Linked DNA regions of Macaca mulatta. The protein of the gene in region 3 purifies or fractionates together with the protein of the main gene of each other region. This does not show direct contact. Links are inferred from orthologs where the notes say so. Each region holds a gene or a part of one and is shown on either strand. Other genes may lie near its edges.

Region 1 (3,962 bases), on a different chromosome or scaffold from region 3:
ATATTGTGGGTGTCTTAAAGACTTTTTCTCTGCTCTCAATTTTTTCCTGTTTCTCTTCCTACTACATCAAAGCAGTTTCTTTACAAGTTACAACAGGCTGGAGAAAACCAGTGAGGTTTAAAAAAAAACAGGCAGGAGCAAGCAAAAAGGAAGTGCAAGCAAAGGATGACTGGCAACCTATGAGAGAAAGAAAGGAAATTACCACAAAAATAAGCAGAAGTGTATTCAAAGAGGGTGTAAAGTCAACTGGGGAGTCCTAAAAAACTAAGATGGAACCTGGTAATTAACAAGTCAGAGGTTTCTGGCTACCCTGTTTTCCTTCAACAAATCAATTTCCCTTGGCAATCCAAACCAGTGGACCAGAAGAGTCAGCAAATACCAGAGTTCACTTCTGCAGGACAAAGACGACAAATGAGGCAGCCACTACTCAACTCAGGAAGCCCCACTCCGGAAACACTGCCAGCAACCACCACGTTGAAACAAAAAAGAATTGAGCTGACACCACGTGGCTGCCTAGGCACCTCCAAAAAAGTAGGCCTACAATGAAACTCTCTGTTCAAAAGAAATACATTAATAATCAGGGAACGATGTAACTTCCTGTCCTCAGCCTAAATAAGAAGGTATCCAGATTACAGGAGAAAGGTCTATTTCAACGTATCCTTGGTCATTGTCTCGAATATCTAGCTGATATTGTCTCGAATATCTAGCTGATCTAGAGGATCTAGCTGATAGCCAAGGAGACCCAAATTCTACTCCCAGCTCTGCCACCACCACCTTAGTAGTTCAGTAACCCTGAACAGGTCATTTTCCATCGGCAAAACATGACTAGCCAATCATTTCAAGGCTTTGGGTTGGTGTGTGCTAAATGAAACTTTATTAGGTCCAGAAGGAGAAAAGTTAAGCAGCTCCTACAATCCCACCCCCAGCTAGCTTCTTCAAGCCAGTTTCCCTACAGAGAGAGGAAATAAAGCCCAAGACTGCAATTATAGGAAGGTTATCCGCATGATGTCCCACTCCTTGTCTTTTAGTTGGTCCATGCATCTGGAAGAATCAGCCTCGAACACAGGGGAGATGCAAGGAACTAATTAAAACCTAAAAGCTAGTTGCATGCCAATGTCCACCTGTCCTGTTTTTTACAGGGTCTATCCCCTTTTATTAGGATTATATGAGGGCCAGAAAGGGCACTCTTCTAGTACTAACATGGCTGTGATTCCTACTTTGTCCAGATTGCAAAGGCCTATGCCATTTGGGGAAATGTGGAAATCAGGTATTTTTCATGGACATAAATTATTGGGTTATTCTATCTCCACAGCAGGGCAGAGGTTACCTGCAAAGTAATACTGACCAAAGTGAAATTAGAGAGAAGGGGAGAGCTACATGTACTCTTAGAGTACCCATACACTTCCCTAACTCAAACGTGTCCTCGCATGTTTAAAGTTAAAGGGAGATCTCCTATTGACTTATGTGTCTGTTAATATCCAACACAAGCCCTCATTTGAACCAGCCCAAATTGGAAAAGGGGCTAGATTACACCAGCCACATGCCTACCCATCAATCAACCACTTCCCAAAAAGGTCAAGGTTGCAAAATGCTATCAACAGAAACCTTTATGACCCCTCAAAAACACCACTCTTGGATCCTGTTAAGGTATATGAACAGTCAAGTCCATCAGTTACATACCGACTCATCCTCCTGCACCTTGCTCCTGGCATGCACAAATATACCACACGTGACAAAAAGGATAAAGGTAAAAGCTCCACACTATACCAACAATTCTGGCAGATAAGAGAGAAGCCGTGTTGGCAAGTGACCAGAGATCAACATGAGCAGAGTAAGACACCCAAAGTGCACAAGGAACCTTCCCCCACTTTCAAAATTCTGCTTTTCTAGCCACACGTGGGGATGAGGTTGGAGGCCAGCAAGTATGAGCAGCCACACCCTGCTCTACCATTACCTAGTATGTCACAATCCTGATGCAAATCCTGTGCCCAAGAGTCCAACGATACCACGCTGCAGGGCAGCAGAAGCCTATTACATAAGCTCTGCAGGGCCTCCTCCGGTGCGCCCCGCCCTACCCTCCCACCCCAATTCTTTAGGGGCGGGGGACTGGGGGGTCTACTCCTGAACAGTTAAATCAACATCCTCTTGGAAAGATATCTTTTTGTGCAGGGACCTGTGAGATGTGGGCCGTTTCTCATTTGTCTGCGACGGTCTAGGAGTGTGGGGGAAGGGAAATTAACAAAATGACCTTTCAAGGTCCTTCCTTGAAGCCTAGAGATTTGCAGGATAAGCATTAAGTCTCATCTCGCCGATTGGGAGGTGGAGGCAACGGAACTGCATTTCACCAATAGGAAAAAGGACAAAATGGGTCCCAGCAGCAATCTCAGCCCTTCCTTAGTGGGACCCATCCCCGAAGGGGGTTTCGGCTGCTTTCTGGGCTGCAGAAAATGCGGCTAGAAACCACCAAACCCGTGAGCAGCCTCGCCCTCCAAGCCTAGGACCCGTGGGGCCCAGCCAAAAGCAAAAAGCGACGTAGAGCAGACGAGAGAACAAGTCGGCTCAGGCCAAAGAGGTTTGCGACAGAGCACAGAGGCCACGCGGGCAAACGTGCAGAATTACCTCATAACGACCCGCTTCCCTTTAACATCCAGCTTGTCCAGCGTCAGCTTATTAGAAAGCGACATTTTGGAAATACAGCTGGGAAGAGAGGTCGGTGATTCGGACAACCAGGGAGCCTACCGCAGACGTGCGCTCGAGAGACGAGAAGAATGCCGAACACCACGCGGGCAGGAACAGGGGCTGCACTGCCGCCCCACACCCCGCCTCCCGCACCGCCCCTTCCCGGCAGCTGCTCCCGGCGCGCCGTGCAGAGCAGCCGCTATTGGCCACGGCCCATCGCGGTCGGCGCGCTGCCATTGCTCCCTGGCGCTGTCCGTCTGCGAAGGTACTAGTGAGACGTGCGGCTTCCGTTTGTCACGTCCGGCACGCCGCGAACCGCAAGGAACCTTCCCGACTTAGGGGCGGAGCGGGAAGCGTCGCCAAGGGGCCCACAAGTGAGGCGGCGAAGATCCGGGTGACGCTACGAACGGACGTGAAGAATGTGCGAGACCCAAGGTCGGCGCCGCTGCGTTTCCCGGAAACGCGCCCGGAGCAGCCGCAGCCCAGCGTAAGCCCAGGACTGCCTTGGAAAAGGCGCCACCCCCAATCCCGTGGAATTCGCAGCTGCCCTGCCAGGATTAATGCAAATGCCACCTCCTTTTAGAAAATCTTGGTTTCCCAGCTCCCTTCATGGAATTCTGCTACTTAAGGCTTGCTTAATAAGAGACCTCTCATAAGTTGGAAAAGGCCCAGGTCCACTCTGGCCCCCACCTTTTTAAAAATAAAAATGCAATGTAATTTTTTTGGTTATGGCATGATGGATGCTAATGGCAAACAGATATGGCATTTTTCGTGTATTAACCAAAGCTCACAAAACGCAGAAGTGACTACTTTCATCCTCATTAGGCAAATGAAGTAGCTGATGCACAAAGAAGTTTAGTGGGCCAGCCGCCTTGGCCCAGGCCTTTAATCCCGGCACTTTGGGAGGCCAAGGCTGGCGGATTGCTCGAGCCAGGTGGATCGAGATCAGCCTGAGCAACATAGCAAAACCCCATCTCTACTAAAAATACAAAAAGTTAGCTAGACGTGGTGGCGGGCACCTGTAGTCTTGTTACCTGTGGGGGTGTCCAAATTCTTGGAGCCTTGAACTAAGAACTGGACAAAATGCACAAAGCAAGGAAAGAATTAAGCAATAAAAGCAGAGATGTATTGAAAACGAAAGTGTAACCGCCCAATGGGTTCACTTTGTCCGCTGCCTAGACAGAGCTGATTTATCAAGACAGGGAAATTGCAATGGCGAAAGAGTAATTCACGCAGAGCGGTTGTGCGGGAGACCAGAGTTTTATTATCACTCAAATCAGTCT
Region 2 (4,215 bases), on a different chromosome or scaffold from region 3:
TATAGGGAGTTACAGGTGAAGTCCTGGATAAAATCGGCACTCTGTATTCACACGGTCTGCATCCAAGGACTTCACCACAGCCATGGATTGAAAATATTCAGAAAAATTTACAAATAATACAAAATTTTTAAAATACAGTCTATAACAACTATTTACGTATTATTTACATTGTATTAAGTAATCCAGAGATAATTTAAATTATACAGGAGAATATGCACATACATATACGACACCATTTTCTATCAGGGACTTGAGCATCCTCAGGTTTTGGTATGGGGAAGGGGGTCCTAGAACTAATCTTCCGAGGATACCGCGGGACAAGTGTAGTTCCAATGCCAAAGAATCAGAGAACCTTCCATTAACTCTTCTTAATGGTAAGCCATTATCTACTCTAGAGGTGTACTTTGGGAATGAGGGGAGGGGTCACAAGGGGAAAGGTCTGCTGCCATCCCATTATCCATCTTTACCTAATTAAGTCTTCCCCCCAAATTATCATCAGCCAGGTATTAATCTTATTTCTTACTGATTAGTGCTCACCTCAAGAGTGAGGGGATGTACTCGCTAGTGAAGGTAGCAAAAATATAAAAATAAACACACAACAAAGGTGAAGGGAGACATAGGAGAAATGGAGGGCCATCTCAAAACTTTTTAGTCTGGTAGAGAAAGTACATCTTTCTGTTCCACTTTCAATCCACAATATGTATCAGACATAATGAACAAAGGAGGAGAGTCAGGAAGAGACAGTGAAAAAGGAAAGAATAAAGATGATAGCACGGCAGAGATAATATACCATACTGGGGGTGGGGGATGAAGTCAACAGGTGAAGAACCCCTTGCAGCCTAGGGTTCTCCAGCGTTGCTGAAACATTCATCAGCAGAGTAATCAACGTTATTTAACAAGTAAATGTCATCTGGAAGAAATAATCGACAATGTAACTAGTCAAGCTGAGTCAAACATAAAACAAGCAACTTTTCCCAGGAAGCTACCTGGGCTGGGATATTGCAGGCCACTATTTGTCTTGGGGGTGGAAAAAAAGATCAGTCGATGTCCTAAGAGTGCACTCCTAGTAACTCTACTAAGCCATATTCTTTTTTTTTTTTTTTTTTTTTTGAGATGGAGTTTTGCTCTTGTTGCCCAGGCCGGAGTACAATGGTGCCTGCTCACTGCAACCTCTGCCTCCCAGGTTCAAGCAATTCTCCTGCCTCAGCCTCAAAAGCAGCTGGGATTACAAGTGCCTACCACCATGCCCGACTAATTTTTGTATTTTTAGTAGAGACGGGGTTTCACCATGGCTGGTCTCAAACTCCTGACCTCGTGATTCCCCGGCCTCGGCGTCCCAAAGTGCTGGGATTACAGGCATTGGCCACTGCGCCCGGCCACTAAGCCATATTACAAAATTAAAGCTTCAAAATTAATGTTTTAATTCAATTATAGTCATTATTCTGTTGCAGGGAACTTTTAAGAAACAATGTTGGTTACCAATGTGACCAAGTAAATGCAACTTGGTTTCTAGATTACCCAAGTGGTTACCAACTGATAGCTTAAATGAGGGCTTAGGGTGAAGGAAAAATAAAGATTAATTCCACATCACTAAAAGGATATTTTAAAGTTCAAGAGGCAACAAAAGTGACAGAATTCCATCATAATGTGTCTCATCATACGGACTCAGAACATGAATCAACTCTCATCTGAAGCCCAGTGTGACCCAGGTGTTCTGTCCCCTGACAAAGGACTATAAAGGAGCTCTCCTGTAATCCAGTTTCCCTCTGAGTAGATTCTTTGTACATATGACATCCATTTTATGTCACTTGTAAAACAGTGGGCTCAGTATTGCCAAAACACCCTGGCTGTATGCTGTATGCCTACTGCATGGTCCAGTTTACTTCAGTAAGCAGCATAACAATTACAAAGTGGTTCCTTGGGCACAAAACAGTCTAGTCAACCAATGCCTTTCAGATTACTAAACCAAACCAAGGAATCACATCCAAGGGCAGTAAACTCAGTTTATATTTAACACAACATAGCTAGAGACCGAGAAAAACACTGTTGTTCACAATTTCTTGACCTAGCAATAGTTATACATTTATCATCAACAGTTCAGGCTCACAATACATCTTTACCATTTTCCAAACACTATAGAAAGCACATTTTAACTCCTATTCAAAGTGTGAAAAAGAACTGAAATGTGAACGGTATTTCTTGTGAATGGAGGTATTACAGGACAGCAACTGCTAAAGCCTCTCAAAGCTCCAAGGGTGGAACCCAGCTCCATCTTGAAACAGAAAAGGAATCCCAACCACACAGCCGCCCTGCAGTAGGAACTAAGGACAGCCCTGCAGAAGTCATGACGTAACCTGAAGTTTGATTTAAACATAAAAAAGCACAGCAACCCAAATGAAACATGACTGAGAACCTCGGAAACGGCTGGATTCTGCTGCAGCCATTCCCTAAGCCAGACAGGTTCCACTGACTAATAGCGTTCAAGCTTCATAGCCTCAGCAACCTATCCTCTTAATGTCAATACCTTTTCTCTTCCTTGTCCTGGCCGCTGGTAAACATGTGAACAAGACTCCCCTCCAGGAGTACAGAGAAGGTGGAGTAGCCTTTCCCGTCATGAGAAGTCAGGCCGCGCATTGCGTTTCCCCCAAGAAGTAAAGGAACAGGCCCCTCCTGGGCACTTTCTGCTCCTAAGCACAGAAGACCCAAATTCGCGTCTGAGGTCAGGATCCAAATATCCATTTACTTCTCAGAAGCACGAGTTACAGAGGTGGAGAAAGGAAGCCTTCCCATCCCCAGGAGGCAACCACACCTCCCTGTGAGCTCAAATTCGGCTGCATCTCCAAAAATGGGAGCCACAGCTGCGCTGTCCTCCAGTGTGCCCTAAGCTTTCGTCTGTCTCCCAAGTTTGTCTTCTCCAGATTCACTCCGTAGGCTACTGCCCAGCTCCCCAGCTCCGGTGGAGGCCGGGGATGCAGGGGGCGACGCGCTCACTGCGAAGGAAGTGCGCTCCCTGAGCCAGCTCAGGGGCTACTGCAGAAGCCTGCCTGCTGGAGAGCCATTTGGAGCCTCGGCCGGGGCTGGGCCTGCGTTGGGAACGCCCACTCCAACCCGGGGCGCCAGGGCCAGCTCAGGGCGCGCAGCGCGCAGGGCGGTGCCCGTCTTGCTCGCGCAGGGGTGGGGCTGTGCCCGCAAGCCCCGCCCCGCAGCCCAGGGCGGGGCCCCGCCACCCCGCTGTTGACCCCATCCCACCCCAGCGACATCGAGCCTTCCTCAGCATTTCCACCAGTTTAAAATTAGGTAGAACCATGCTGTTTTCGGTAGGTCACAACAGTCGAATATCGGCAGTTTCTCACGGTTCGATCTAAGAGCTACAGCGTATCTGGCGTATCTGGGAAATGCGTGCCCACACCGGCGCTACATTCCCGGTTCATCGTGCAAACTTAATTTTTAGAGTGAAAACATTCTCCTTAATTCATTCAACAGCTATTTACCGGGCATCAACTACCATATTTACTCAATTCTAGCTCACTTCATTTCTACTCCTATGGGCACTATATTTTAAACTCTCCTTCCCCGCTGTGAAAAGACTTCGCAGGAAAAGTTGTAAGCACACTTCTGCCACATTAAACTCCTACTTAAACCTCCTAAGAGATTATACTCTTCCCACTCTGGGAAAGCCATCTTAAATGGCCTCATTAAACACAGAGTAGCTTGTTTTGTTTTTAAACAAGCATTACCCTTGCCCCAATAAAGTCCTGGGCCTCAGATTTGCATTGCATCAGCTAGTGCGTGCAGAGGTTTAACCTGTCATTACATCATGCTTAGGGCAGCCTCCAAATGCAGCAAGAGCTGGCAGTGAGGAGTGAACCCAATGCAAGGAACTGCAGATTACCCACTTTCAGCAAGAAATTTTAACTCTACCCACTTCCTCACTCTATTAACAGTGTGTCCAATCACCTCAACCTCATTTTACAATACAGGCTACACAAAACAACATTAGGAAAAGAAATATAATTGAAAATAGACACAGTCGTGCCAGAACTATTTTTTTTTTCTTTTTTCTTGAGACGGGGTCTCACTGTTGCCCAGGTCTGAGTGCAGTGGCACAATCTACACTCACTGCAGCCTGGGTCTTCTGGGCTCCAGCAATCCTCCCACCTCAATCTCCCCAGTAGCTAAGACCACAGGCTGACACCACCACTCTCGCTAATTTTC
Region 3 (4,283 bases):
TGCTCTGGGTGGTCATTGTGAAAAGCCCGCACCAACCATGCCAATGGCAGCCAGACGAGGACACAGCCTGGTTCTGGGTCCCAGGAGGAAAGGCAATCCCAGAAAGACAGGGACAAGGACTGGAGTCCTGTGGGTGCCTTTTAAGCAAAGATTATCACCAGGCGGGCTAAACTTAGCAAACGGCTTTTAGCTAGAAGGGCAGGGGGCTGGTGTCAGGTTATGCTGGGCCAGCAAAGAGGCCCAGGATCCCCCTCCCATGCACCTGCTGATGGGCCAAGGCCACCCCACCCCACCCCCTTCCTTACAAGTGTTCAGCACGCTCCCATCCCACACTCACAAACCTGGCCCTCTGCCCTCCTACCAGAGAAATGGATACCCTGTGGGAAGGGGCAGGGGGCCTGTTCCCACCATGTGCCCAAGACCTCTTTTCCCACTTTTTCCCTCTTCTTGACTCACCCTGCCCTCAATATCCCCCAGCGAAGCCAGTGAAGGGGAGTCCCTGGCTCCTGGCTCGCCTGCACGTCCCAGGGCGGGGAGGCACTTCCGCCCTCACGTCCCGCTCTTCGCCCCGGGCTGGATGGAGTGAAAAGCACACTGTCTCTCACCCTAGGCAGCACAGCCCACGGGGCTCCAGGAGTGACTTTGTGGGAGGCCTCTGGGCCCCCACCAGCCATCCTGTCCTCCGCCTGGGGCCCCAGCCCGGGGAGAGCCGCTGGTGCACACAGGGCCTGGATTGTCTGCCCTAATCATCAGGTCCAAGCTACAGGGCTGCAGGACATCGTGACCTTCCGTGTAGAAACCTCCCCCTCAAGCCGCCTCCCGAGCCTCCTTCCTCTCCAGGCCCCCACTGCCCAGTGCCCAGGCCAGGCCTCGGTCCCAGAGAGGCCAGGAGCCAGGAGATGGGGAGGGGGAAGTGGGGGCTGGGAAGGGCCCACGGGCCCCTCCTAGCCCTTTGCTTCAGCTATTCCGGTGTCACTACCGCAGAGCCTCGAGGAGAAGTTCCCCAACTTTCCCGCCTCTCAGCCTTTGAAAGAAAGGGGAGGGGGCAGGCCGCGTGCAGCCGCGAGCCGTGCAGGGCTCGGGCTCCAATTCCCCATCTCAGTCGCTCCCAAAGTCCTGTTTCATCCGTGCGTGTAAGGGCCCCCGTCCTTGACTCCCTAGTCTCCTGCTGCCCACACTCCAGTCCTGGGAAGCAGCACCGATCACCTCCCATCGGGCCAGTCTCAGTCCCTTCCCCCCTCCGTCGGGGCCCACACGCTTGATGCGTGCCCAGTTGAACTAGGCGGCTGCGGAAAAAAAAAAAGAGCAGGGAGAAAGCAGGGCCCCGCTACTCGCGGTTTTACGGGCGCACGTAGCTCAGGCCTCAAGTCCTTGGACTGGGACTGGCTGAGCCCGGCGGGAGGCGGGGTCAGAGTCACCGCCTGCCGCCGCGCCCCCGGGTTTCTATAAATTGAGCCCGCAGCCTCCCCCTGCGCTCTCTGCTCCTCCTGTTCGAGAGTCAGCCGCATTTTCTCTTGCATCGCCAGGTGAAGACGGGCGGAGAGGAGCCCGGAGGCTAGGGACGGGCCTGAAGGCGGCAGGAGCGGGCGTGGGCCGGACGTGTTCGCGCCGCTGCGGGGTGGGCGCGGGCCAGGGTCCGGGTCCGGGCCCGGGCTGCCTCCGCATTGCAGGGGCGGGCGGAGGACGTGATGCGGCGCGGGCTGGGCATGGAGGCTGGTGGGGGGAGGGGAGGGGAGGGGAGGCGTGGGTGTCGACCGGGACCACTAGGCGCTCACTGTTCTCTCTCTCCGCGCAGCGCATCCCTGAGACACCATGGGGAAGGTGAAGGTCGGAGTCAACGGGTGAGTTCGTGGGTGGCTGGGGGGCCCTGGGCCGCCCGCAAACTGCGTCTACGAGCCTTGCGGGCTCCGGGTCTTTGCTGTCGTATGGGGTAGGGTAGCTGCGTCCGGCAAGGAGAGCTCAAGGTCAGCGCTCGGACCTGGCGGAGCCCCGCACCCAGGCTGTGGCGCCCTGTGCAGCTCCGCCCTTGCGGCGCCATCTGCCCGGGGCCTGCCTTCCCTAGTCCCCAGGAACAGGAGGTCCCTACTCCCGCCCGAGATTCCATCCGACCCGGACCCCTAGCTGGGGACGCTTTCTTTCCTTTCGCGCTCTGCGAGGTCACGTGTCGCAGAGGAGCCCCTCCCCCATGGCCTCCGGCACCGCAGGCCCCGGGATGCTAGTGCGCAGCGGGTGCATCCCAGTCCGGAGGCTGCGCCTGCGGTAGAGCGGCCGCCATGTTGCAACCGGGAAGGAAATGAATGGGCCGCCGTTAGGAAACCCTGCCGGTGACTAACCCTGCGCTCCTGCCTCGGTGGGTGGAGTCGCGTGTGGCGGGGAAGTCAGGTGGAGCGAGGCTTCCCGGCCCCTGCTCTCAAGTCGGCCCCTGAGCTGCAAGCCCTATTTCCCCTCCGGGTGATGCTTTTTCTAGATAATTCTCTGGTAAATCAAAGAAGTGGGTTTATGGAGGTCCTCCTGTGTCCCCTCCCTCCAGAGGTGTGGTGGCTGTGGCTTGGTGCCAAGCCGGGGGGAGCTGAGTCATCGGTAGTTGGAAAAGGACATTTCCACCGCAAAATGGCCCCTCTGGCGGTGGCCCCTTTCTGCAGCGGCGGCTCACCTTATGGCCCCCCTCTTCCCCTGCCAGCCTAGCGTTGACCCCACCCCAAAGGCCAGGCTGTAAATGTCACCCGGAGGATTGGGTGTCTGGGAGCCTCGGGAAACCTGCCCTTCTCCCCATTCCGTCTTCCAGAAACCAGATCTCCCACCGCACCCTGGTCTGAGGATAAATATAGCTGCTGACCTTTCTGTAACTGGGGGCCTGGGCTTGGGCCGTCTCCCATCCCTTCTCCCACACACATGCACACACCTGTGCTCCCACTCCTGAATTCTGGAAAAGAGCTAGGAAAGGACTAGAAGCTTGCAAATTAAAGCCCTGGGACTAGGGGGTTAAAAAACAACTTCCCCTCTTCCCCCGGCCCAATCTCTGTCCCTTTTGTAGGCGGGTCTTAGAGAAGGGGTGGGCTTGCCCTGTCCAATTAATTTCTGACCTTTATTCCTGCCCTTTGAGTTTGGTGATGCTGAGTGTACAAATCTTTTCTCCTTAAACGGTGCAGTTTGAGGCTGAGCTAGGCAGCAGCAAGCATTCCTGGGGTGGCATAGTGAGGTGCTGAATGCCACGTGCAAAGCTTGTGCCCAGACTGTGGGTGGCAGTGCCCCACATGGCCGCTTCTCCTGGAAGGGCTTCCTATGACGGGGGGTGTTAGGCAGCAGTGGAGCCTTCAGTTGCAGCCATGCCGTAAAGCCAGGCCAGCCTGGCAGGGGAGCTCAAGGGAGATACAATTCACCTCTTAATGGAGGTAAGGAGATGTTGGGGGTAAGGAGATGCTGCATTCGCCCTCTTAATGGAGAGGTGTCCTAGGGCAGCTCACATACTGTGGAGAAGCCTCCCCTCCTCATGCCTTCTTGCCTCTTGTCTCTTAGATTTGGTCGTATTGGGCGCCTGGTCACCAGGGCTGCTTTTAACTCTGGTAAAGTGGATATTGTTGCCATCAATGACCCCTTCATTGACCTCAACTACATGGTGAGTGCTGCCCCAAAGCTGATGTGGGAGGAGCCACCTGGCTGCCAGGCAGCCCCTTCACACCCTTGCGTATTCCCCCAGGTTTACATGTTCCAGTATGATTCCACCCATGGCAAGTTCCATGGCACCGTGAAGGCTGAGAACGGGAAGCTCGTCATCAATGGAAGCCCCATCACCATCTTCCAGGAGTGAGTGGAAGGCAGTGGGAGAAATGTGCTGTGGGGGGCAGCTAGGGTGGTGCGGCTCCCTTGGGTACATGGTAACCTCGTGTCCCTCAATATGTCCTATCCCTGTCTCCCCCACCCCATAGGCGAGATCCCTCCAAAATCAAGTGGGGCGATGCTGGCGCTGAGTACGTCGTGGAGTCCACTGGCGTCTTCACCACCACGGAGAAGGCTGGGGTGAGTGCAGGAGGGCCCGCGGTAGGGGAAGCTGGCTCAGCCCTGCAGAGGCAGAACCCGGGTTTATAACTGTCTACTTCTCTGCTGTAGGCTCATTTGCAGGGGGGAGCCAAAAGGGTCATCATCTCTGCCCCCTCTGCTGACGCCCCCATGTTCGTCATGGGTGTGAACCATGAGAAGTATGACAACAGCCTCAAGATCGTCAGGTGAGGAAGGCAGGGCCAGTGGAGAAGCGGCCAGCCTGGCACCCTGTGGACACGCTCCCC

The links.
Region 1: the proteins of GAPDH (region 3) and PGK1 fractionate together in Homo sapiens (co-fractionation; 4 studies listed by BioGRID and IntAct, with this or other methods). This does not show direct contact. The link is inferred for Macaca mulatta from reciprocal best matches to the Homo sapiens genes GAPDH and PGK1.
Region 2: the proteins of GAPDH (region 3) and SIAH1 purify together in Homo sapiens (affinity purification with western blotting; 4 studies listed by BioGRID). This does not show direct contact. The link is inferred for Macaca mulatta from reciprocal best matches to the Homo sapiens genes GAPDH and SIAH1.

What each region holds. Positions count from the first base shown.
Region 1 is NC_133426.1:84,348,999-84,352,960, reverse strand, and holds the start of PGK1 (phosphoglycerate kinase 1), read right to left. Parts: upstream 2,801-3,962; 5' UTR 2,685-2,800; coding exon 2,620-2,684; exon of another isoform or gene 2,465-2,619; intron 1-2,464. UniProt on the Homo sapiens protein: Catalyzes one of the two ATP producing reactions in the glycolytic pathway via the reversible conversion of 1,3-diphosphoglycerate to 3-phosphoglycerate.
Region 2 is NC_133425.1:43,776,374-43,780,588, forward strand, and holds the start of SIAH1 (E3 ubiquitin-protein ligase SIAH1), read right to left. Parts: upstream 2,801-4,215; 5' UTR 2,616-2,800; coding exon 2,525-2,615; intron 1-2,524. UniProt on the Homo sapiens protein: E3 ubiquitin-protein ligase that mediates ubiquitination and subsequent proteasomal degradation of target proteins.
Region 3 is NC_133416.1:7,484,318-7,488,600, forward strand, and holds the start of GAPDH (glyceraldehyde-3-phosphate dehydrogenase), read left to right. Parts: upstream 1-1,483; 5' UTR 1,484-1,526; exon of another isoform or gene 1,527-1,618; intron 1,619-1,795; 5' UTR 1,796-1,812; coding exon 1,813-1,841; intron 1,842-3,516; coding exon 3,517-3,616; exon of another isoform or gene 3,617-3,639; intron 3,640-3,697; coding exon 3,698-3,804; intron 3,805-3,926; coding exon 3,927-4,017; intron 4,018-4,107; coding exon 4,108-4,223; intron 4,224-4,283. UniProt on the Homo sapiens protein: Has both glyceraldehyde-3-phosphate dehydrogenase and nitrosylase activities, thereby playing a role in glycolysis and nuclear functions, respectively.